Linked DNA regions of Oreochromis niloticus. The protein of the gene in region 2 purifies or fractionates together with the protein of the main gene of each other region. This does not show direct contact. Links are inferred from orthologs where the notes say so. Each region holds a gene or a part of one and is shown on either strand. Other genes may lie near its edges.

The links.
Region 1: the proteins of cep97 (region 2) and sugt1 purify together in Homo sapiens (affinity purification with mass spectrometry; 3 studies listed by BioGRID and IntAct, with this or other methods). This does not show direct contact. The link is inferred for Oreochromis niloticus from reciprocal best matches to the Homo sapiens genes CEP97 and SUGT1.
Region 3: the proteins of cep97 (region 2) and neurl4 purify together in Homo sapiens (affinity purification with western blotting; 4 studies listed by BioGRID and IntAct, with this or other methods). This does not show direct contact. The link is inferred for Oreochromis niloticus from reciprocal best matches to the Homo sapiens genes CEP97 and NEURL4.

Annotation. Positions count from the first base shown.
Region 1 is NC_031982.2:7,941,971-7,949,487, forward strand, and holds the start of sugt1 (protein SGT1 homolog), read right to left. Parts: upstream 3,091-7,517; 5' UTR 2,945-3,090; coding exon 2,931-2,944; intron 2,830-2,930; coding exon 2,781-2,829; intron 2,084-2,780; coding exon 1,993-2,083; intron 1,795-1,992; coding exon 1,725-1,794; intron 100-1,724; coding exon 29-99; intron 1-28. Other genes in the region: ETS-related transcription factor Elf-1, read right to left, coding at 6,577-7,183. UniProt on the Homo sapiens protein: May play a role in ubiquitination and subsequent proteasomal degradation of target proteins.
Region 2 is NC_031987.2:20,767,975-20,775,325, reverse strand, and holds the start of cep97 (centrosomal protein of 97 kDa), read right to left. Parts: upstream 3,038-7,351; 5' UTR 2,711-3,037; coding exon 2,674-2,710; intron 1,966-2,673; coding exon 1,823-1,965; intron 1,712-1,822; coding exon 1,553-1,711; intron 1,441-1,552; coding exon 1,339-1,440; intron 1,241-1,338; coding exon 1,127-1,240; intron 1,039-1,126; coding exon 872-1,038; intron 767-871; coding exon 602-766; intron 496-601; coding exon 320-495; intron 220-319; coding exon 1-219. Other genes in the region: rpl24 (large ribosomal subunit protein eL24), read left to right, coding at 3,311-3,315, 3,442-3,517, 4,153-4,263, 5,216-5,352, 6,555-6,618, 6,790-6,870. UniProt on the Homo sapiens protein: Acts as a key negative regulator of ciliogenesis in collaboration with CCP110 by capping the mother centriole thereby preventing cilia formation. Required for recruitment of CCP110 to the centrosome.
Region 3 is NC_031967.2:17,604,294-17,612,276, forward strand, and holds the start of neurl4 (neuralized-like protein 4), read right to left. Parts: upstream 3,091-7,983; 5' UTR 2,919-3,090; coding exon 2,703-2,918; intron 1-2,702. Other genes in the region: shbg (sex hormone-binding globulin), read right to left, coding at 4,274-4,410, 4,535-4,736, 4,864-5,000, 5,228-5,384, 5,532-5,693, 6,188-6,377, 6,624-6,721, 7,529-7,636. UniProt on the Homo sapiens protein: Promotes CCP110 ubiquitination and proteasome-dependent degradation. By counteracting accumulation of CP110, maintains normal centriolar homeostasis and preventing formation of ectopic microtubular organizing centers.

The DNA of each region.
Region 1 (7,517 bases), on a different chromosome or scaffold from region 2:
ACTTGAGGCCAAAATGGGCTGCACTCACCATCCAGTTGGTGTCCCTGAGTGAAGGCTGCATGCGCTGACTCATAGTTGTTCAGGTGATATTCGGCTATTCTGCAGTTGGGCAAGAAAAACATGCCACATGAACTTAGATCAGGCAATCTTGGAAAAATAAACGCAGCTTCATCTGACAAACAACATCTGTATGATTTACCTTGTTAAAGCAAAATGTTTTGGTAGTTTTTGTGCATTAACTTCTGAGGAAGCGCAGAAATCAGACTTCTTACTACACTGGTAGTTTTCTTCCACTTCCGCGGAAGAAAATGAATGGATGGTAGTTTTAGAAATTACATTTTTAAGTATAACTTTAAAGGTTTCAGACAATTCTTACATTGCAAGGCGTAAAACGTGAAGTTTTACATAATGCAACCACACCAAATTTATATTGTGACCACATAATAAGAACAATAAAGAAAAAATATATAAAATATAGTTACAAATTGCTTTACAAAACATGATAAATATATAAAAACAAAGAGGCAACAAATTAAAACAAGGCATAAAATCTGAACATGCTGTGTGAATAACAGGTGAATAAACACAACGAAAAGAAGTAAATCAAAGAAATAATAAAGGGGCAGTAAAAATAGATTTACTATGAAAAGTATTGAGTAGTGATTTCAAAGTACTGAGTTTGCTAACCTCAGTTGCTATGGTAACAGAAAACACTCAAACACCTATGTAATGAGGTGTATTGTGGGAACAGAATGATCTGACCTGACAAACGCAGCCAGTCGCTCAATTAACACCAACCAACTAAATCTACAGTGCGGGTAGGATGAGCCCATGCAAGGTTTTAAAAGTAACAATAAATACAACTTTAAAAAAAGCTTCAAATCAGCTCAACTTTAAATCACTTTGTCTTGTCTCTGTGAATTTGTTTTGAATGAGGTGAAGGCAGGTGACTGAATTTTGTCTGAGACCCGAGTAGAGTGGATTACAATAGTTCAAACGTGATGAGACGAAGGCAAGGATGACTCCTCCGAGGCCCGCTTGAAATGGAAAATGTGAAAAAGCATGACAGTACCACTTTGGTGATTTGTGTGTTAAAACAAAGCTCTGACCGAAGTTTGTTTGATGGACGAGGACGGGTTTTCAAAATTTTCCTTTAAGTTAGAGGTCAGGTTTGGGGTGTGGGGGGAGCACTGAACCAAAGGCCTTCAGAATTGAAATCACTGAGCTGAAAGAAGTTTTGTGACAACCGTCAGATAACATCAGAAACATGAGCCATACACAGCAGGTTTCATCCCATCTTGTCAATAAAGCTGGCTGTACGTTTGTGTCAGAAGGGATAATTTTTTAATCAATTAAACTACATGTTTTAATTATTATTTTAGTTAATTTACCTTTTTTTTTTTAGTGGTGAGATGAACATATCAAACAGTAAATGAAGTGCAGTCTAAACTGAGCTAAACATCTGCATGCCAGGGTGGACCCCTGTGGGTTAGGTTGGTGATTCTGAATTGGCCATGGATGTGAGGAAGGCCCACAGTGTTTTTAAGCTTTTCTTGTACTGTAAAGTATATTTGTACATTGCTTATAAAACTAACCACACCTGCGAGCACTATTTGGGGATTGTGCTCACTTGCCATTTTGCCCCTTTTAGTAAATTTGGCCCTATGAGTGGTCAGTCAGGCTAGAAAAGTGCTATGTAAAGGCGTGCATTTCACAGTCCATACCCTGTGCGCATGAAAGCAAGAGAGAGGCTGGGTTTTAGCTGTTGTGCTTTCTTGGCGTCATCAGCAGCACCTGTGGACATAAAACAAAAGTAAAAAATTACTATGTTTCTTTATGCAGTGCATATATCCAGGCTGAGTCACATGCAGTGTAAAACCTCAAAAGCTAAACAACACGTATTTGTAATGCGCACATAATGTTCATGCACTTAATAATGCATCAAAAATACAATTAGTGTGGTCTGTTTCCACATGTGCTATGCAGACTTACAGCTGTAGTTCTTGAGCAGTATGTGGGCATAGGCACGCTGACAAAACCACTCAGCGTTGTCTGAGTCTCCTTGTAAGGCCTCGTTAAGCTCCTGAAAATAATAACGAGGTGGCTATTATTGTATAAAGGGCTTAAAATCGTGTTTTCAGCTTCAAGAATTGTGGCAGGAAAGAAACTTCTAGAAAAATGCTTAAATCGAAAGTAGAGCTGTTATGCATCTGCAACTTTCACTTTCGCAGTCGGATATCGTTATAGAAGAATCAGCTCTCTGTAAATCTATTTGAATCTGTGTTATTCCTGCAAATCAAACTGTAATGATTTTCATAATACTGCCCCGGTTAGTCACATAAATAACCGCAGATTCACCAGAGGCTTTTTAAACAGCAGAAATAAACTTCACTGGTTAAGTCTGTTGACAGTTAACAACTTCATGTCAGGATGACAGGGCTAGTATCCAGCAGCAGACTATTTCGAGCTAACGTTATGTAGTAATACCTCCTCACGCATGAGACATATTTAATTCTTAATGGTATTAAAGAAACAGGTGACCGTTTGATATGATAACGAAGCGATTCTGGGATTACTTTTATTCATAACTAAATAGGGCTAGCAAACATGTTGGCTAACTTCGCTAGCTTGTTGGTAATATCTGAAACACAAACACCACAGGTATTACTCAATTTCCTTTCTAGAGTAAGTCCACTGAATTTAAAGTTAAATGGACATCCTGCAAGAGCCACCGTGCATCGCACAAACTTGTTTGTGGCTAGCTGAGGCTAGTGTTTTACCTGCAGAGCTTTCTGTGGATCTTCGTCAATGAAGCTATCGGGGAAGCTGCTAAAAGCAACAAAAAAAAGCAAGTTAGCGTTAAATAACTGAAAGAAAAGAAATGTCTGCTGCTATAAGAACAGTTCATTGATAGATTTAGATGAACTTACCGTTCGGTTGCCATCTGCTTCTGTGGATGTGCACAGTGTTTCTGGAGTGACAGGAAAGTTCTAGATGTGGAGACTACGAGAAACGTGATAGCGGTAACAGTTACAGCTCAAACACAGCAGAGAGCCTGTCAACATCCGGCTGCGCGCAGCTCATACTGCCTCTACTCCCCCTAACGGCCCGGAGGAGTTATCGCTAACTTTTTTTTTTTAAGGAGACGATTTTCTGGACAGAGAATTAGGCGGCAGATTTGTCAAAGAATAGAAACGTTTAAATTGAAACTGGATACGGTCACCCACCAACAAATGTATAATACCATTAATGAAAATAAAAATGGGGGCTGATAGAATATAAACACAAACAATTTGTACTCCCCCAGACGGTCAGGAAACATAAATGATACAATATATCCGAGAATTACGGAGACATGGCTTATTTCAGTCAGACTTCAGTCAGACTTCCTGTCAGAGCTATGGTACAATGGACCTATTATGTTAGCACAAAAATGTCCAATGATTCATTGTGAGGATGAAATGCTCCAACATCAGCTGGATCTGTAATCAGACAGAGAACAACGGAAATAAGACAGCGAATCGGCTGTGGGGTGTAATGTTGACTGTAGTCGACAAATTTGTGTTGCACGTCTCTTTAAGGAAATAATGCGGGATGGTAAAAGACATCCATTCTAGGTAGTCGTGTACATTATTAATGTTCACATCTGGAGAACAAGAGGTAAAGTAGCTATTTGAAGAAAAGATAACTAACAGTGACGCTGCATGTGTTTAAAAATATTGTTGCTGATCTCAGGAGGAGGAAAACTTTTGGACTGAAGAATAATCCTCTTCCCTGGGACATATTTAGTGTTATCTATCCTTGTACATGCTGTATGTATGTGTAACATGTAACATCCTGTTGAATTCAGTTGCGTATGTCCACAAAGAGCAGCAGGTCAGCTGACCACAGCCGGTACACTAAGAAAATCTGCTGGAGCTCACAGAAGAAATTATTGCGAGTTCTCATTCTTTTCCCCACACTGAGCCTCTACAGTGGATTTTGGGGTTTCCCCATGTGCAGAATCAACTTTAACCCCTGACTGTACACATTTTCTTGTTTAGAGGAAAAGTCACCCTCTACACTGTAGGCAACACAAAATAAACTTCTTTTTCTATGTTCATGTTCTGCATACTTGATTCAAGTTGAATACATTCATTAGAAATAAAATTTAGATCAGAAATTATATAATAAAGACTGCATTGCTATGTACTACTGTCATTTTATTATATTACTATAGCTCAGTTAGCTTTGCACAAAAATAGCTGGTATAGAAAGGCCCTCCAAAGAGCTACTTTACTGTGAGTACGTTTCAGAGCCTGTAGTTTTCACTTTTACTTGAGTAAAGAAGTCGAATCAGTACTTTAACTTTTACCAGAGCACTTTTTAACAGAGGTATCTGCACTTCTGCCACCTCAGATTAGCACCACTGGTATGTTAAAAAGACTGGTGGTCGCCATTGCTACCCCTCAGCCACCTACAAGCTCCTCAATGGTATCAATTTGAAAAGCCTATGTGACATTTTTCTTCAGTTACTATGTTCACAAGATTTTCACAGAGCTTGACCTCTGACAAGGTAACAGAGATGCAAACTTGTCCATGATTTTTAGTAAATGCAGCTATGGTATCAGCTGGAAAAACCTACATCAGCTTGTTTGTGAGTTATCACGATGACAGGACGGGTTAGTGTTAATGTGGTAAGCCAAAAAACAACTTCACCAAATCAAAAATAGAATTAACACCTTTCTGACAACAGCAAAAAAAGAAAAACTGATCGTGTCAGAATTCTGTAGAAGTAGTTCTGGCAGATCTGTATCACTGCATTAGGCCTTTACTGATAAAGCAGCAGTTGAATGCACTGCTCAAATGCGACATATACACTCACCAAGCTACGTCTACTGATGCTCCAAGTCTTCCAAAGGAACAATGATGGATTTCACACAATGACAAATGTAAATTTATTTCATATAATAGACGATTAGCTTTAACATCACTGGACTGCATGAAAGCAAACACAACACAGCATTAAAAAAAAACAAAAACAAAAAAAACAAGCTCCACCTCTCCCTCTACTACAAGCTTACAAATCTATTAAGGTAAGACATTCCCAAGACACATACTGAAGAGCAAGGGGCAAAAAAACACCAAAACAAACAAACAAACATGTTATAACAAAGTGAAAATAGTTCTGCATAAGAGTTCCCTGCAGGCACAGTTACTGCATAAGCATCTCTTTGCCAAGTTTAGCCTCTCAAAAAGCCAGCCTAACTATTCAGTCATATTTTTTTTTTAAATTTGGAGTGAGGTGAAGTTTGTAAGCCGGCTTCGTGAGCCTACGCTAAGACCGGGCGAAGAGAAAATAATAAACTAACAATTTCACTTTTACTTCTTGCATAGAGTACATAATATGTGCAGCACAAAAATGCTTTATAAACCTGAGGGAAGGAAAAAAAAAATGGCATCAAAAGAACAAGCTTTCACAGGCATACAGTACACAAAGATCAGCCAAAACATTAAAACCACCAGCCTGGTAATATGTAGGTCTGCTTTGTGCAGCGATGCCGCTGCTGGCGCCTTCTGCAATGCTGAGCTTGATGCTAAACCCACGTGAACGCCAGCCAAACATTGCATTGCACTGTAACGAAATGACCAGTGTTCACTTCAGCCAACACAGTGGTTTTAATGTTGAGGCCCTACGGTGCGTAATAGACGCATACAGATAGAGGATTCAGAGTTTAATATATGCACTCATATATGGATAGCTAGTGCACAAGAGAAAAGATAAATAGTAGCACTATAATTTTACAGGAGGCAGGGTGGCTACAAGGCCACTTCACTGGTGATTGTCACGAAGAAAATAGAAAAAAAGAGTCCCATGGTGTAGATAAACAAATAATAAACAGCGCAAGTGCTAAAATACTACTTTGAAAAAATAACAGTGATCCCTTGTTTTGCAGCAATCTTAAAAAACAACAACAACAACAATAATAATAATAATAATAACAATAACAATATGGAATGTTTTCCCTTATGATTACCAGGAATAGGATGGACTGACATCTTCAGGCACTTCAGAAGAAATATACAGCAGAGGTAAACATTAGTGCAAAGCCACTTTTAAGGCAAAGGAATGCTTCAGGACGTGATAGCATGAAGACACAAAACTAAACAACGTAGGAGAAAGTGAGAGCAAAAAGCAGAGAAGAAGGGCACAGTGTGGTGATAAGATAATTGCTTCCAGGACACTGGAGCTGAAGTGCAAGCAGAGAAAGCGTCTGCAGGCAGTGCAGAGAGGCCAGAGATTCCAGTGCATGTCTGTCTTTGGTGTTGGTTTAACAAAGGGCTACACAGAATGACAATAAGGCGAAATGATCAGATTTCAAAGCTGAGAAGGTAAACTGCTGTGAGATTTTGGTTCCTGTCAGCGCTGTGACAAAAGCACTGATCTGTACTTATGATCTAAAATAATATTCTACACCAAAAGTCCTTGTTTTTAAATCAGCATTGTCATAGCAAAGTGCAGCCCTGTAAGTGGTCCTGAGTCGGTGGAGTGTACAGGCATCTGTGTGTTCGATAGAAAGTGGGCACCTGTTATTTTTATTGGTCAGAGCTAATCAGAGACATGAGCTGTGGAGTTTTTGGTCCTGGGTGCGACTTTTTCTCGGACATCTCCGGCACACCTTTTCTCCCTATGGCCACCTCGGCAGCAGCCTGTCGCTCGCACAGACTCCCCAGCAGCTGAGCCGTTTTGAAGACTGAGGCATGACCGGCGGGTTTCAGAGACTGGACCTTTTGCAGGTTCTGGAGCGTGCGTAGCATCTCAGCTGACACGATAGGCAGATGCTGTTCCTGGATCAAACTGGAGCTGGTGGGACGCAGGACGGTGTCGCGCTGAGCTGAGGGCCTGGGAGCGGGCCTGGTGCGCTGTGAAGCGGGAGCGCGGCCGGAGATGGGGGACGATTTCTTTGGCGGTGGCTGAGAATCTTCCTGCTCCTCCGCTGAATGGTCACTAGACGATATGGTACTGTCAGAGTCGTCGCTCATGCCTTCGTCGTTGACGCTGTTGTCGTCGTGGTCCTCGTCGTCTTCCTCTTTGATGCCATCTCCGTCGGTGATGTAAATCATGTCTTTGGGGAGAGAGGTGAACTGGTAAACGAGGCGCTGGCCTTCAACCTTATTCAGTATGCCTCTCTGGTAGTAGTACCTGCATGGAAAAAGCAGAAATTGACAGCTTTCAAACCTGCTACAGTTTTCAATCATTCACATCTCATTTGTAAAATCTAAAATAAAAATGACAAAAAAAACATTTTTTTTTTGTCATCGATAAAGAGTCAAAAATATATTTTTGACTCTTTCTTGGTGTACTATGATTAGGTTCCATACCTGCCCCTTTCTTACTAACCTAGATTGGATAAATTCTTGCATTTATATACAAGTTAAATGAGTTAAACTGCTTTAAAAATTAAAAAAAAGGTTAAATTAGTACTGACAAGCAGCATCAAACTTGAGTAGACTGTACAGTAAGCTTCCATTTGATT
Region 2 (7,351 bases):
CGTCCTCGCTGTCAGAGTGGGTCGATCGTGGCTCCAGATCAGATGTGAAGGGGATGAAGGTGGACTCTGAGGAAAGCATGCTACTGTTGAGTTTGTCCTCACCTGTCTGCACATCCTCCAAATAAATTTGCTCCTCGCTCAGCCTTGGGCGACATACTATGGGCAGCGACGGATTGGAAGAGTCAGAGCTCACCCAGGTGTTAAACCGAACAACTGGCTCTACAGGAAAACAGACAAGTCAACGATTAGTACTACAACCTAATTCAAATACATGATTCTCACTGGTCCTGGACCAGGACGAGGAAAGCAGCCCTCTTACCTGTCTGCGGGACTGATGGAACAGCTGGTCCAGGTACAGTGATCTTCTTCAACTCTCTGGCTCCCCCTTGAGGAACTGTATGTGAAGGACTGTGACTCTCCACATCGAGCTGAGTTGGACGAGGAGGACTGCAACAGCCTCCCCGGGTCTCCTCCAGCAGTTGTCTCTGATGAAACCTGAGACAGTTATGAAGGATTAAGAATGTGTGTGCTACCATGACCAAGAAGTGGATATTGGGTAATGATTTTTTTCCTTGCAGTTTATCTATATTAAGATTTCAACCTCTGTTTACTGAGAATCTTCTCCAATTTGGCATCCTCAGCTGTCTCCAGGGCAGGTGATGCCGTCACAGGGCAGACAGTGGCCAGGTACTGAACCAGCTGAACGTGCTGTCCTGGTCGATACGAGCGACCTTTGCCCTGACTGTAGAGCCACTCGGCTTTCAGACTGTAAATTTAACAATAACACACAGCAAAAAAGAAAAAAAAAAGACATTCAGGCATTCTGATAATGCTTTTGTACCGATGATATTAAGCATAAGAATATACACACCCCTCTTTCTGTGTCACTACATAGCCATCTAGGACCTTCAGGCTCAGGCACCAACTCATGACATATGGCCGATAGTCGAAACCAGGCAGAGATGGGGTCGCCATAACACAAGGGTTGCTCATAATGGACAGCTGCTCCAGCTCATGAAGTGGCGCCAGGTATGACATCTGGGGTAATCAGTTTATAGTCAGAGTAATATTAGGTCATTTTAATATAACCAGTGTGGCTGTATTAAATAAGGGGGAACATAATTACTTCATTAAGATCCCTAATCTCATTTTCTGCCAGGGAGAGAATGGATAATTGAGCAGGAAGGTGAGCGGGGACAGTTCGAAGTGTTGTGATGCTGTTTCCGTGAAGTAACAGAGTCTGCAACATTGACAGAAAATGATACCATCAAGAAAATCAACAATACCATTAATAAAGAGCTAGTTTGAGCACAAATTCAGAGGTCTCAGCACACTGACCTTTAGTGCTACCAGTTTGGTCAGATCACCAATGGCAGATATGTTATTGTCAGACAGATCCAGGTGTTGAAGGGAGACACAGTTGTTAAGTTGCTCAATGACCTGTGTGAAAGATTGCACAGTGGATTAAATATTTGTCATTATACATGGACTGTTTGCTGTCAGTAAATTACAGGATCTGTATAAAGGATGTTAAAATATCTCATGTCCTCACCTTAATATTGTTGCCAGACAGGTTGAGCCACTTTAGGTGAGGCAGATCTCTCAGCCCCTCAATGTAGCCTATACTGTTATTGGGAAGATTTAGGACTCTCAACTCTGTCAGCCGAGACACACCCATCATTCTCACCAGACGATTACTGGCTACAGACAGCTAAAGAGGAAAAAGAAAGAAAAGACATCAAATCATGAACTGGTGTGTTGTATCTGGACTCTAATGGTTGGGAAGATAATGTAGATAAATTTAAACTAAAGAGTTTGTTACCTGCTGAAGACCTGGACTCCTTTCTAGGTGGTCCAGCTTCATGATGTTGTTCCCGTCCAGGATGAGAGTGTGAGTGTCCTCTGAGCAGGTGAAACTGGGCTCCAACTTCTGCATACCTCGGGCCGAAAGATCCACCACAGGTCCTGGCAGGATAAAGAGATTCAACAGACTTAAAAAGCATAACGTGGGTCTTGGTTTTCCATAAAGATATCTTGTACCAAATCTTGTGAAATCAGTCAAGCGCACATTAAGTATATCTCATAAGTCAACAGCATTGGGCTTATCTTGAACCTGAACTTTTCTCCAAAATCACCCAACTTTATGTCAGTTTTAGTACCCCTCTTGTACTCCACTGCAGAGTGGTGATGGGTTAATTATGGGTTACACAGACTACTATAATAGCTTATGAATGGGTATAGAACTGTAATAATTAGCCATCTACAATGCAAAAAAAAAAGATTAGTTACATTTTCTGGCAGGTCCCCTGAATTGGTTTAAATAATCTGCTATTGATTACTGCCATTGGAAGGCTAACAAGGTCGAGAAACAATCAAGCCTCTGCCCAGTGCGCATTTCGTGCCAGTCTGTCAACACCTGCAGAACCTAAATCTGTCCCAGACAGACTGTTTTCATGTTTAAGGTTTCGGAAAACTTTGCTAAAATCTAATTTACAAATATGCCAGAAAGGGACTGACGCAGGATGTTTTAATGCTCGTGTAAGGTGAACTAGCTAACGGCAGCACTCTGTAGTGCTCTCCCGTTAACCTCCGCCGGTGATAAACATCTTCCTATCGGCTACCTTTCAAATGAATGTTAATATGTTTGACTAAAATAACTGACCGACAACTTACCAGCATTTCTATCAAACTGTAAATCTGATACACCCATCCTATCGACCCGGACCACAGCTAGCGTTAGCTGCTGTGTACTGTAGTGGGAAAGACAAGAAGCGTCTGTGTGTTGTCAAACTGCGTAATCGAGGGGCTCTGGGAATTGTAGTTCATAAAGGATGTCTCGTCCCTTGCAACGTTGTGTCTATGGAAGTCGAAAAGACTACAATTATCCTACAGCGCGCTAATGTTGCTGAAACGCGCCAGCCAGGTTTAAGCAAAGAATAAAGAAGCAAACCATTAACGTTAATAGGAAAAATGCGTCTGAAGTGACCATAGCCATCTTATATTTCATTTTAGAGTGTTTAAAACACTGCTGTTCTGTATTATTAAGACAAGAGCAGCTAGCTCATTGCTTGCTAGGCAACCGTCAAAATGTGACGTCACCATTGTGCTGCTGGTCAATGTATAAATTTGACTAATATATTTTTGTAATAGAAAAAAATAATTCGTATAGGCTCACTGATTTTAAAGCATTACTCAAACTTTAACGGTTAGATTTTTTTAATTTGTTCACAAATATCAATCTTGTAGTCAGTAAATTCCGTTTCCGCATCCGTCATCTTTCTTTCCGGTTTTGTGCCCTCTCGTAGCCATCATGAAGTGAGTGTATGCAATGCTATCAAATGCCATCTCAGTATTTAAATAAATACTTTAAGGGTGATAAGTACGTTAAAAGAAACTATGTACGCTTCTCTTTCGCTGATGATCTGTATTTGTCGTTTTCAGGGTCGAGTTGTGCAGTTTCAGCGGGTATAAAATATACCCCGGCCATGGCCGCCGATACGCCAGGATAGACGGGAAGGTAACTAGCTGGCAAAGTCCGACACCGGTTTCTTCTCGCTCTGTCCCAAAATTATTTTTATGAATATCACTTTACCGGCTCAGCGTTAAATATCCCCTGTGAATGTGCTATAAAATTTGTCTACTGTAAGATACTCACAACGGGCCCAATTGAGTCCTGTAAAACCCGCTAATGTTAGCAGCTAAACGATAGCATTTTTAGGTTCAGCCACACGGGTGTATTTGACTGCGATAGAAAGCAGTCATAGACACCTACAGGCTCTGTTGACTGCCAATTGTTCTGAAAAGAGCCTACAGGGGTTTTAGATAAAGTGCCATTTATTTGTGTAAGTACATCCAGAAGAAAACATAAGATGCATTAGGATGTAGCCTCACTCAGAATGTGGCTCTGTCCTGAGCTGTTGCCTACTACTTAAAATTAATGCAGTTAAATTTCGTTATGTATCAAGTTTATGATACATGTGAACAGTTCCACAATGCAACATGCGCTTTAGATTCAGTTTTTGTCACATATAACAGACTGCTGTCAGCATCCAAAGTCAGTTTGTAGCTGAGGTGGATGCGTACAGGGTGTAATTGTCATAATTAAAGGCAGACATGAGTAACATTCGGTTATTTTTTTTGTGCTCTTGTTAGGTGTTCCAGTTTTTGAACGCCAAGTGCGAGTCTGCCTTCCTGGCCAAGAGGAACCCCAGACAGATCAACTGGACTGTGCTGTACAGACGCAAGCACAAGAAGGGCCAGTCTGTAAGTAAAATCCTGTATATGAGTTCATCATTTGTATTTGTTTACAAGGAGACTGAAGTGAAAATATAGCTACTATTTTTCCATGGCAGACAGACTTTGTGGGTCCAGCAGTTAATTGCTGTGTTGATATTGGTCATTTGTGAAACTCACAAACTAATCTTAGCTATCAGATACAAAAGTTGATTGTCACATTTACTCAAGCTCCAATTTATACATCAGACTGGCTGCGGGTGGATGGTGTGCACGGTGTTGGTCCGTGTTACGTGTTGTTGCTCGACTGTGTTTTGCAGACTGAGCAGCAGCGCTCACTCCACACCTGCAGCCACAGAATATCTGGAGATCATAGTACTGGCCTTTGACGTCTTCGCAGACATATTATCATCGGTCAGCCTCCAAACTCTCCGACATGCTGACAGTTGCTACCTGTGGATGGATTGTGTGTAGTCCTGTTAAAGTAGTTCAAGGATTTGGTGTTAGCTTTGTGAAATTTAAAGCCAAACATAAGAAATCTGTTTCTGTTTACAATATCCTGAGTTATTCAAACTTAGGTTACTCACCATTGCTGTAGCATGACAAAGTATTTTCCTCAATTTATCTTAGGTTTTTAGATTTTCATGGTTACAGCTATTGACTGTTACGGTTCCTATGGATGGTGATGCATCAGAAAACACGCAAAACTGACTTGTTGGATGGCTGGACACATGCTTTAACACTGATTTGTCATGCCTTAGAGGGCAGTTCGAGAAAATTGGTTAATAACTGTTCATTTATGACTGCAACCACCACTTTGGAGGTGTAGACTAGAGTAAATATGTAGACACATTTCCTTTCAGATAGATTAGCCACTCATTTCTTTGTGATTAACAGGTTTGTCTTCTATTCTTTTTCATTCTTCATGAAAAACCATCATTATTTTTTAAGTAAACCAATGTATTACATTTTTTTTTAACAGGAAGAGGTGGCAAAGAAGCGTACCCGCCGCGCAGTGAAATTCACGAGGGCCATCACTGGCGCCTCCCTGGCTGAGATCATGGCCAAGAGGAACCAGAAGCCTGAGGTCCGCAAGGCCCAGAGGGAGCAGGCCATCAGGTAAGAGGACAAAGTACCCTGTGTACCTCTTTTTCTTTTTCTTTGTCTTTTTTTTTTTTTTTTTGTCTTGTGATCTTGAAGTTGATAAAATTGTGTCAGAGTATTATTCGGAGTAAAGAAGGGTTGGATTAGAATCCAGTGTAGATGATATTGGCTGACTGGCCCAGAGGTTGCATTGGGCATTTTATTGGTTTCATATTTTTAAGAATGAGATTTATTTGTGTTAGTTTTCATTAAAACAACTAGAATTTAATAAAACAGGAGAGAGTGCCTTTATGAGGGCATTGAGGGAGAAACGCTGACTGCAGGGACTTTTCATAGTAACACAGCAAGAAACAAATGATTTTATTTGTTTCCCCCTGCAGACTTAGCTGATACACAAACGCAGCAGTCAAATATAATCTGAGTGAACATAAACCTGGGGCTTGCTTCAGCATAATTAAAATAAAGTGAATTACAGGATGTTGCAGCACTTCCTGATTTAATTTCATTCTGCAGACTGAGCCCTCTCTCTGCTGCTGCACTAGACACTGAAATTCCTGAAATTCATTATTTCAGGATTAGTTTTATCGTAAAAAGAACACATCTAACATTACCGAGTGATATTAGCAAAAGTCTCTGAATGCCGACGCTTCTGGTTCTTTAAACACTCACCGAACAGTCAGAAAACCCCCAGGTTGAACTCCTGCATGAGGGAACAGCTGCACCTATGACCCTGAGCTGATCACAGACATGCTGGATTTAAGCTTAATGTTATTAAACACAAGAAAATACGGATGCTGCCACCATCTTTAGATTGTTGTTTTTTTTTAATGTTGTTGGTATTCTAGTCCAGTCTTTAAGCCTTTAGATTTGTAACATTTAATCAGTGCTTGGAAATATTCAGTAAAAACAGCTTCTGATCAGCCTGTCAGTGTAATCAGTCACTATTTAAAATGGGCTGTAAATAATTACTACAGTGAACACTTTCATAGCACTTCAAGTTCACTTTCCAGTCATAATAAAATACAATTATAAAGCACGTTTCTCACAGTGAGTGGTGCAAAAAGGGCTGAGGTCATGAGCAACCAATATTCAAGTTAAAAATAAAGTATTCAAATACATACATTAAAAAAATTATATAAAGAAATTTGTTATTTTATTTTATTTTTTTGGTCACTTTGATTAGTTTGGACTAAATTTGGTTCTCTTTGTTGTCTCAGAGCTGCCAAGGAGGCCAAGAAGGCAAAGCAGGCTGCCAAGAAGCCCGCTGCACCACCTGCAAAGGTAAGAGCCGGTGCTCTGTATTGAAGTTATTTAATCATTATTATTCAATAAGATGTCAAACCAAGTTTTTAGTTTCCCACTGCTTGCTCTTCAGGCTTCACTCAATTATTCAGCAACTTAATTCAAAGTTTTTCGTTGTACAAGACCTTACTTGATTTTCTTCTCCTGTAGGCCGCTGCTAAGGCTGCACAGAAACCCAAGATCGCCAAGCCCATGAAGGTCAGCGCACCTCGCGTCGGTGGAAAACGCTAAACCTGACTCGCTGTTTATGGTTGTGAATAAAAATTTTGGTTAACCAACATTTATGCTCTGATTTGTGTATTTATTTGACAACTTTACTGAACCCCAGGCAGCCCAATGTTTATGTATTTAAATTTATTTTTGTGACACGGAGCCTCATTTCCAAGTTCCATGAATTACAGTATTTGAATATTTTGTTTCAACATGACGGGACCATCATAGTGTCGTGGACAAATTCTTTTGGTGTTGTGGCAGGAAGGACATTCAGCATTAACTGGGTGACCCCTGGGAAATAACTGGACAGCTGAATGTAGCTTGTGGTGTCAGGATGGTGCTAAACCTTTTACCCCAGCAGCCAGGTTAACCTGTAACAGGAAAGACATAGGTGTAAGTACAAATAGCAGTAATGATCTCATTAGGTTTAGTGGTGCATAATTGGAACAGAGCTATTGTCAGTACTACCACTGTTCCTGCTTCATTTCAAACAATCTTT
Region 3 (7,983 bases), on a different chromosome or scaffold from region 2:
CAGAGAAAAGAAAATGTAAAAAGCAGCTGGCGTTGATGTTTAAGTCTCGATTAAAAACACTTGAGCGCAGCAGATGCTCGCCGACACAGAGCCACGAACCCCTGTCGTCTCGACGAGGACTCGTCTCCTGGCTCGCTGCACTCCACCTGCTGCTCAAGGAGAAAGGGATCTGACAAAAACCTCAGCGGTGGATAAAAGCCTCAGCTTTATGCTCAGTCATAACCCCCCCACCCCCACCCCACCCCCAGTAGGACTCCAGTGTAAGAGATGACCGTGACCGATCACTGAAACCCTTCCAGCTCCTGGGATGTTTTTCTGCAGCTGACTTCTGTGCCAAAGACACTTTCCCCAGGATCAATACCATTTTTTTTTTTAACACTACAGTCAGCCTCCTCCTGCCCACCTCTTCCTCAGCTCCGCGGCAGGTGCTATGTAAGGCAGTGTGCTACCGCAGCCAGGGTATCTGGGTTAACAGATCTGGGAGTAGCTCAGGCTGACCGGGTCTGTGTGTGTGGAGGAGACAGACATCTCCTTCCCTCGCGCTCTCGCTTACGTAACAGCAGCCTGTGGGCGTCTGCCTCCCAGTCTTTCACTCGACTCGACTCTAAAAGACTAATAATCGCAGGCTGCAAATATACACACTGAGCGGGACAACAGAGCATCTTTTATAGGGAAACAGAGAAGTTTATAGCCTGTCGATTTCAAAAGCACCACCTATGGGGAGCACCGCTAGAGAGAGGAAACGCAGAGGCTCAGCTTTTGGGGCACAAATTCTCACAACAACAAACTCCCATTTGGGAGCGAATAAACATTTTCCAGCCAGATCGGCATGACTGTGAGGAACACAAAGTGGCACAACTTGCTGAATTTGTGTGCTTTTAAAAACACGTTAGACTTGAAAACCTATGACTTTAGCGTTAACTCGTAATTAAACAGTAACAGCAAGAAAAGTAGCATTTCAAAGTAGATATTAGTGCCAATTATATTGATCTACTCATCACATTAAGCACAATTCAAAACTTGATACTGTCACACAAGACAAAACACAGCTAATCATTTTAGCTTTAAGTAACTCCCAGTATGCAAAACGCGTGACAGAGTATTCCATCTCACTAGTTGGATCTTCTGCTGAATCCTATCATAGATCATTTCTTTCTTCCTCAAGTGAAAAAACACCCGCAGAGTCCTGCTCCAATAAATCACTTCATTCCCCCTCATGTGTTTACGTCCCCCCACCCTGGACGTCAGCACTCAGAGTCATACCAGCGGGTGCTCCATGATGACAAACTATTGATTTTCAGACTGGCAATGCATGCAAAGACGGGGCGGGAGCCTGTTTATGAGAGCCTTTATCAGGCTGAGAGCTCCACCAGGGATGCATAATTATCTAACGTGCAGCAGGTGCTATTAAGCCAGATGCTTTACGTGCACACACGCTATGCTTTTAGACGGCTGGACACACTGTCATTTCGTGTGTGTGTGGGGCCCAGTTGGCTTTGGCACTGACTCCAGTGCTGCCATGTTGTTGGCAAGCGCAGCTGGGAGGCCGACTGCAGAGACAGAAGCCATTACAACGGAGGTTTTCCACAACTGAAATGTAAACACTCTGCACAGGCACTCTTAATGCATGGAGATAACAAGGTCAAGGCTGCTAATTCAAGGAAACAGAACATTAGGCCACCTCTACCTGCAAAATTACATAATTAAAAACTGGTTTAAGCTTCATCAGTGGATGTGAACTGTAGCTGTAAGCTCTCTTTGCACTTGTGATGGAGGAGAGGCAGGACTTTGACTGGAAATGAAGGGAAAAGAAAGGAAAGAGATCACCTGCACTTAACTTGATGATGAAAACTGTTAACAGCAGCAGGTCTAGTAAAGTTAGACACATGATATCCGTGATTTTGTGTTTAAATGGTTGTGAAGTCAGCCGAAAGAGTGCATGTAATTAATGAGTAACAGCATGAAGTAGTCACCTCCGTGCTCCACTTTTTGAGCAGCAATTCTAGCGGTCTGCAGACGCTTTGCATACGCACAGAGGTGAGCGGAGGCTGCAGAGCTGAGGCTTTCAGCACACAGGCTCTGGTTAATATTAATGACAGTGGTAACAGCCTCGGTGTAGTCACTGTGTACTGTTCACACATGGCCTCTGAGTCACTACGATAGCCCCGTGTGGCGTGAACACTGCAGTGTTATTAGCCATCGGACAGACAGCCTGACAGGCGACCGATCCTTCAAAACAAGCCCTAAAAGAGCCGCACTTACCGGCTTAGCTGGGATTCTTTCACGCGATAAAACGATACCGGGTCCCTGTCAGCGCCAGACAAAGCCCTCGTAGCACCTTCCAGAAAGGCTAGCCCTGGCCAGCCTGCTAGCGGCTCATTAGCACGGCTATCTGACGGCACCAAGGCAACACGGGCGGGCTATCGTTAGCTAGGAGACTCGTTTATCACATCCAGCCCACAGCAGGCTGTTTATCAGCTCCCTGCGGTCCTCCCCAGTCTCTGTCGGTGTATCTAATTAAAGCCTGAGGAGCCGTAAACACTGCGGCTACTGTCAAGCCCTGTGTGTGCCGCCCTAGCAGCAGCAGTAGCTTTAGACCGCGGACAGCCACAGACCCCCGGCTCGTCCCTCCAGCTCCGCTCCCGTCCCGCTGCCCTCACACACGCTCAGAGGAGCCAGCAACGGGCCTGCAGTTTGTTTACCTTCTTGTCAATGCGGACGGTGAAGACATCCCGGTCCCTCAGCGGCTCTTTGCTAAGCACCAGGCCGTGATTGAACTCCTGGACTGGCTGGTTGCGACGGGCGGTTCGGTTCGAGTTGGACAGGCCGATCAGCTTTCCGCTCCGCGGATGCAGCTCCGCCGCCATCTTCAGTGGGCGGCCAGTATTCACGACAGCGAGGCTTTGCGACAGTAACATTATGGCAGCCGGCAGATATGTGGAATCGTTAGCAACCGCACCGCAGGCTTTAATGACTGAAAGCGTGGCGTCATTTTAAAGCCTATATAAACGCTTTGGTTCAGAAGCTAACGCTTCTACATTCACCGTAGCCTCATTGTACACTTTTGATTATTTCTCACTTTATTGGCTCGAGGGCTAAAAACTTTCTACTTTAACTACAGTTAGAGTCACGTTCGTTATCAGTTTGCATTTTATCGCTTTATGTATGTGTTTTTATTATTATATGATTGTCTAGTTAAATATTAATAGGTGTTATTATATTTTTTTATTCTATTTACTGCTAGTTTAACGCTGTCTTGGGAAACAAATGTATATAATGTTTTGAATGAAAATAAATCTATTTATCTGTCTGTGTTGCCCGACCTTTCACATCTTCCAGTTCATTTCAAAGCTGCACATAACATTTTGATGACTTCTTGCAGCGATAAGTGAATACAGACATAATTTTAACTGAAACTGATCTTGAACATTTCATTCATATTTGCTATAGTCTTTCTTCTTTTCTTCTTTTATAATTTAAAGTTGATGAGTAATATTTGTACTTTTTCCGTGTATCTAATTTATGGGATAGATGACGTCATACACAAGGCTCTGATGAATTTAACATTATATTTAATTAACCACTAGAGGGAGCAATTTTCATGTCTAAGATCAGTCACTCGGCGACAGCGAGCGGGTTCTTGTGAGGCATGCGTGAAAAGACTGGCTGAACCTAAGTTGAAAGAATTGAAGAAAATTAGAATTAAAATTTGGCTTTAAAAGACATCGACTACACTCAGTGATGGTAGCCTCGACCATCCAAAGAAGAGCCTTGAATGTCCTTCAGGAAGCCTGGACAACTATTCCTGGAGACTATTAAAAGAAATTACAAAAAAAAAACAACAACAAAAAACTGAAGAAGAATAAACTGAAGAATAAAGGTGTTCATAACAAAATAAGATCTGTTTCATGTGTTTGAGGATTACAATCCTCAAACACATCTTACGCCTCTATTTTGCCTTAAAATATACCAGAAAAATGAATATGTATCAGAAACCACTTTAGGGAAAGTCATATTTTATTCAGCAGCTTGCTGTTGCACGTACCAGGGTCACAAAACTGCTCACATTTATCAGATTTATCTGTATGTTGTGTTAAAAGTGGGAAAGTGGAAGAGACATCTCATAAAATATTAATATTTAGCACTAAATTATTTACACTTTGGAGATTCACTGGTACAAGTATAAAATTCTGACTTAAAACACTTTAGTGCTCATCACTGCAAACACCATGTCTACTCAGCATACCATAAAGTGTAAGCATGCTTTCGTGGTTTAAGCGGGGCAGCTGTGAGAGGAAACGGACACGTGTTTGACGCGCGCCGAATCCAGATCCAAATCCTTCCCTTGGACCTGGATCTTCTCCAGACAGCCTGTCAAGAACTTGGAGCCGACATCGTCGTCATTCTCACCTGAAAAGACAAAATAGATGAAGAAATTGATCGTCTTCACGAGTTACACAGAGCAGATCCTTTTTTTGTGTTGCTGCACAGTGATACAGGATTAGACTGAAATACTTTAAAGCTGCAATCTCACCCAAAAGGCCTCCAATGGCAAGATGACCATCTCTCCAAGCTGATAAATAACTGGTGTTGCTCCCTGCACTGACTGAAAAATCAGCCGATGATTCATCCTCATGTTTAACCACCCTCAGCGAATCCTTCTGAAACTTAATTTGGAGCCTCTTGAAAGTGTTCTTCATGGTGAGCACCTCTTCTCTAGAGGTGAATGTGAAGTCCTGCATGCCAAATGGAAACAGAACTGTGACGTACACTGATCTGTGTGTGTTATTTGCATGAAACAAACATCATTTCTAAGTTAATAATCCTGCTTCGAGGGCAAATACATCTGACTTATGTGGATACCTTTGTGTTATTATCAGCTACCACAGAGAACACGAGCTCCTCCCCATCAGCTTTGATGCTCAAAAGGGTCCCGTCCATCTGGCTGAAATCCCCCCACAGTTCAATACGGACCCCGTGATCTTCATCGATCTGGAAATCTGGGAAAAAAAGAAATGTGTGGATGTGTTGAGTTGGTTAAATAAATACAAATTAACGTGCTGAATCTGATTAGAAGGAGTACTACTTAGAAGTAGGAGAAATATTGCTACCCGAGATGCCATATCATGCATAAATGCAATATCCGGGCCAGCTGGAAAGCTTGTTATTGAATAAAGGAGTGTAAACACTTGCTCGTATCTGGGATAATTTAGCAGAGTGTTCCCACCTGAGGTGTTGAAAATGGCAAATCCTGTGCCAGGGAAGTAGCTGCCAGGTTGGATGTTTTCATAGCAAGGCTGGAGCTCGTCTGCCTCTGCCACCCATGGGACGGTGAGGTTCAGCCAGTTGCCTTTCCGCACACAGCCATCCATTTTGGGATTGAACTAAAGGAAGAGGGCACGAGGTGGATGATTCAGACATGTTCAAGAAGCTATTTTCCAGAGGTCTTGTCCAAGGAGAGGAAAACAGCATCTGGTCTATTTGCAGCTGAAGTGTGGTTTAAAACAAAAGGTGCAAAATACACAAAGTACCTGAACAATCATCTTTTCTTTGCCGATCAGCATCCCGCCAAGGGACAGTCGTAATTTACCGTGAATGACCTCCTCTATCTGCTTGGAATGCATGCCCACCACCAGCCCGCCAGTGCCATCCACCTCCAGAATTACGAACTTGCCCTGGTTGCTCACTTCCATCTTGGTGGCATCAAGAGAACAACAAACGGTACAGTTAGCCAGTTTTAAGATGAGCTGTTATGCTCATTTCGAACATGGTTTTGTTCTCGCGCTCTCAAGGAGCCCTTCATAATTTCTTATACGGAGCCTTTGTGCAGCTCCAGAGTTCTCTCCCTGCCTGAAACCAGCAGTTTTAGCCACTCCCCCTTCAAGGCTACTCCAGCTTTCTTCTGATTGGCTGTCTCTTGCAAACAAACCACGAGCAGCAGATGGGCGGGATTTGTGTGCTCACAGCTGTGTTCCTTATATGACCATAACCATAATAATTTGCATATAAACTGACCTCAATATTTAATATGAACATCCATTACTGTGAGAATATATATATATATATATGAAAATATAGAAAATAAGGAAAAGGATAAGGGGGCGAGTTTTTAAAAAGCATCATAAAGCAGTTCTTTAGCCAATTAGAGTTCAGCAAACTGATTTCCAAGTGATCACTGGATGCTTACTGTGTGCCATTTCCCGTCATTGAGCCTCGGGGTGCCCGCTACGCTGACGAGCACGCCTTCTTTGTTGATCTGCATCAGGGGGACGCCGTCTTTCAGCGACAAAACAAACCAGTCATCCCCGTTTTGTGTGTCTCCGTAGAAAACCAGACCTTCTGGGTCAAATGTCCGGAACTGAAAGGAGGATTTGATGCTGCGTGGCAGAATAAAGATACAGTAAATTGGAGTGAAGGCTGCTCATTGGTGCATTAATAAGACAACCTGCCTTATTTATCTTTGACTGATCTTAGAGAGCTCATGTACGCCTGTTCAGTAAAAACTGAACTTCAAGGTCACGTTTTAATTTGAAATCCCAGAAGAATTGTGTGCACCTTTATGCCCACAGAGGAGCTGCTGTGCAGGCTTAACGGTGCACTGATTTGCTCCATCGCTCACGTACCTGCCGATCTGACTAAGGTTGACCGTTGTGTGGATCAGCGGCCTCCAGTCGTGCGTGTTCTGGCCCAGATAGACGGTAGAACTGCCCGGCACCTCTTTCTGGAAGACACAAGCTTCATCTCGCACTGATCTGACACTTAGGTCGTTACTCACAGCTTTTTATTACACGCAGCTCTCATTTATCGAACTCGGCCTCAGTATTTTACACTCAGAGATCTTCATTGGCTGCTCGTTAAAACCACATTAAACCGAGAGATGAAATTTATTCAGTTATTGATTCGACTTTAAAAAAAAGCTGAACAGAGCAGTGTGCGCAAATTATTAAGTGGTGATGAAGTGCCACATCACTGCATTTCATTGACAAGAGCAACCACACAACATTCACTTGTGGATATGAACCATGTGTATGTAGAACATTTAAGAGGAAAAACAAGTCTTGCTTTTCTTTTTGTGTTAGTAATTTCCAGAAACTGGGACAAAAGTAAAGTATTTCCTCTCTTATCTTAATTATGCCGATGTGTCTGCAAACTGAGCAAACTGAGCAAAGTCTAAGCAAATGATGGGATCCCCCCTCCCCTTTTGATTGGCACATGAGCTGGATACAGTATGAGTTAGCTCAGGACTTTTAGACTTTTATTCTTTAAAACATAACCTATGAGCCAACAAAGTAGATTTTTCTCAAAGAAAAAGATGTATCTAAATGATACATGCAGATATTTCCAATGATCAGGAGCTGTAGCATGTAAGTGTGCAGAAACAATATATGTCACTAGAGTCATCCATGCTTCTGCAGAGAATCAGGGACTTCATTAAAGGCTGAAAAGGTGCATATAGATGATACTTCCTACACACACACACACAGAGTGCACATTTTAATTCTAGGCATTGTGTATCGCAGTAACATACCTTATCACGTCCGTTTCCCTGGCCCTCAGCTCCCCACCCCAGCAAAATAAGGTTCAGAGTGAGCAGCAGTGCACCTGCCATTGCTTTCCAAGTCATCCCGCAGCACATTCACTGACCCAGGCCTCGCAGCGTTCAGTCCCCACAGCTCACGGTTGGTCCGGCTACACTGCGATGCAGATGGAGGTCGAGTTAAGATGAGGAGCAGAGGGATTATGGAAAAGTGTGCAGTGTGCAGTGCGCTGGCGTGTGCTGTCACAACTCCCGGGATCCAGAGGGCATCTCTGGTCAGGGCAAGCTATCGATCCCTGAGGCCGGAAGGCCGCGTTGGTTGAGACCAGTGTTTGCAGAAATGCAGATGGCTGTGGGTGGTGAATGTGAAGTACAGCAGGCAAACAGAAGAAAGAAACTGTGGGGTTAAATAGCACAAAAGGGTCTGTTGCAGTATTAGAAATTAA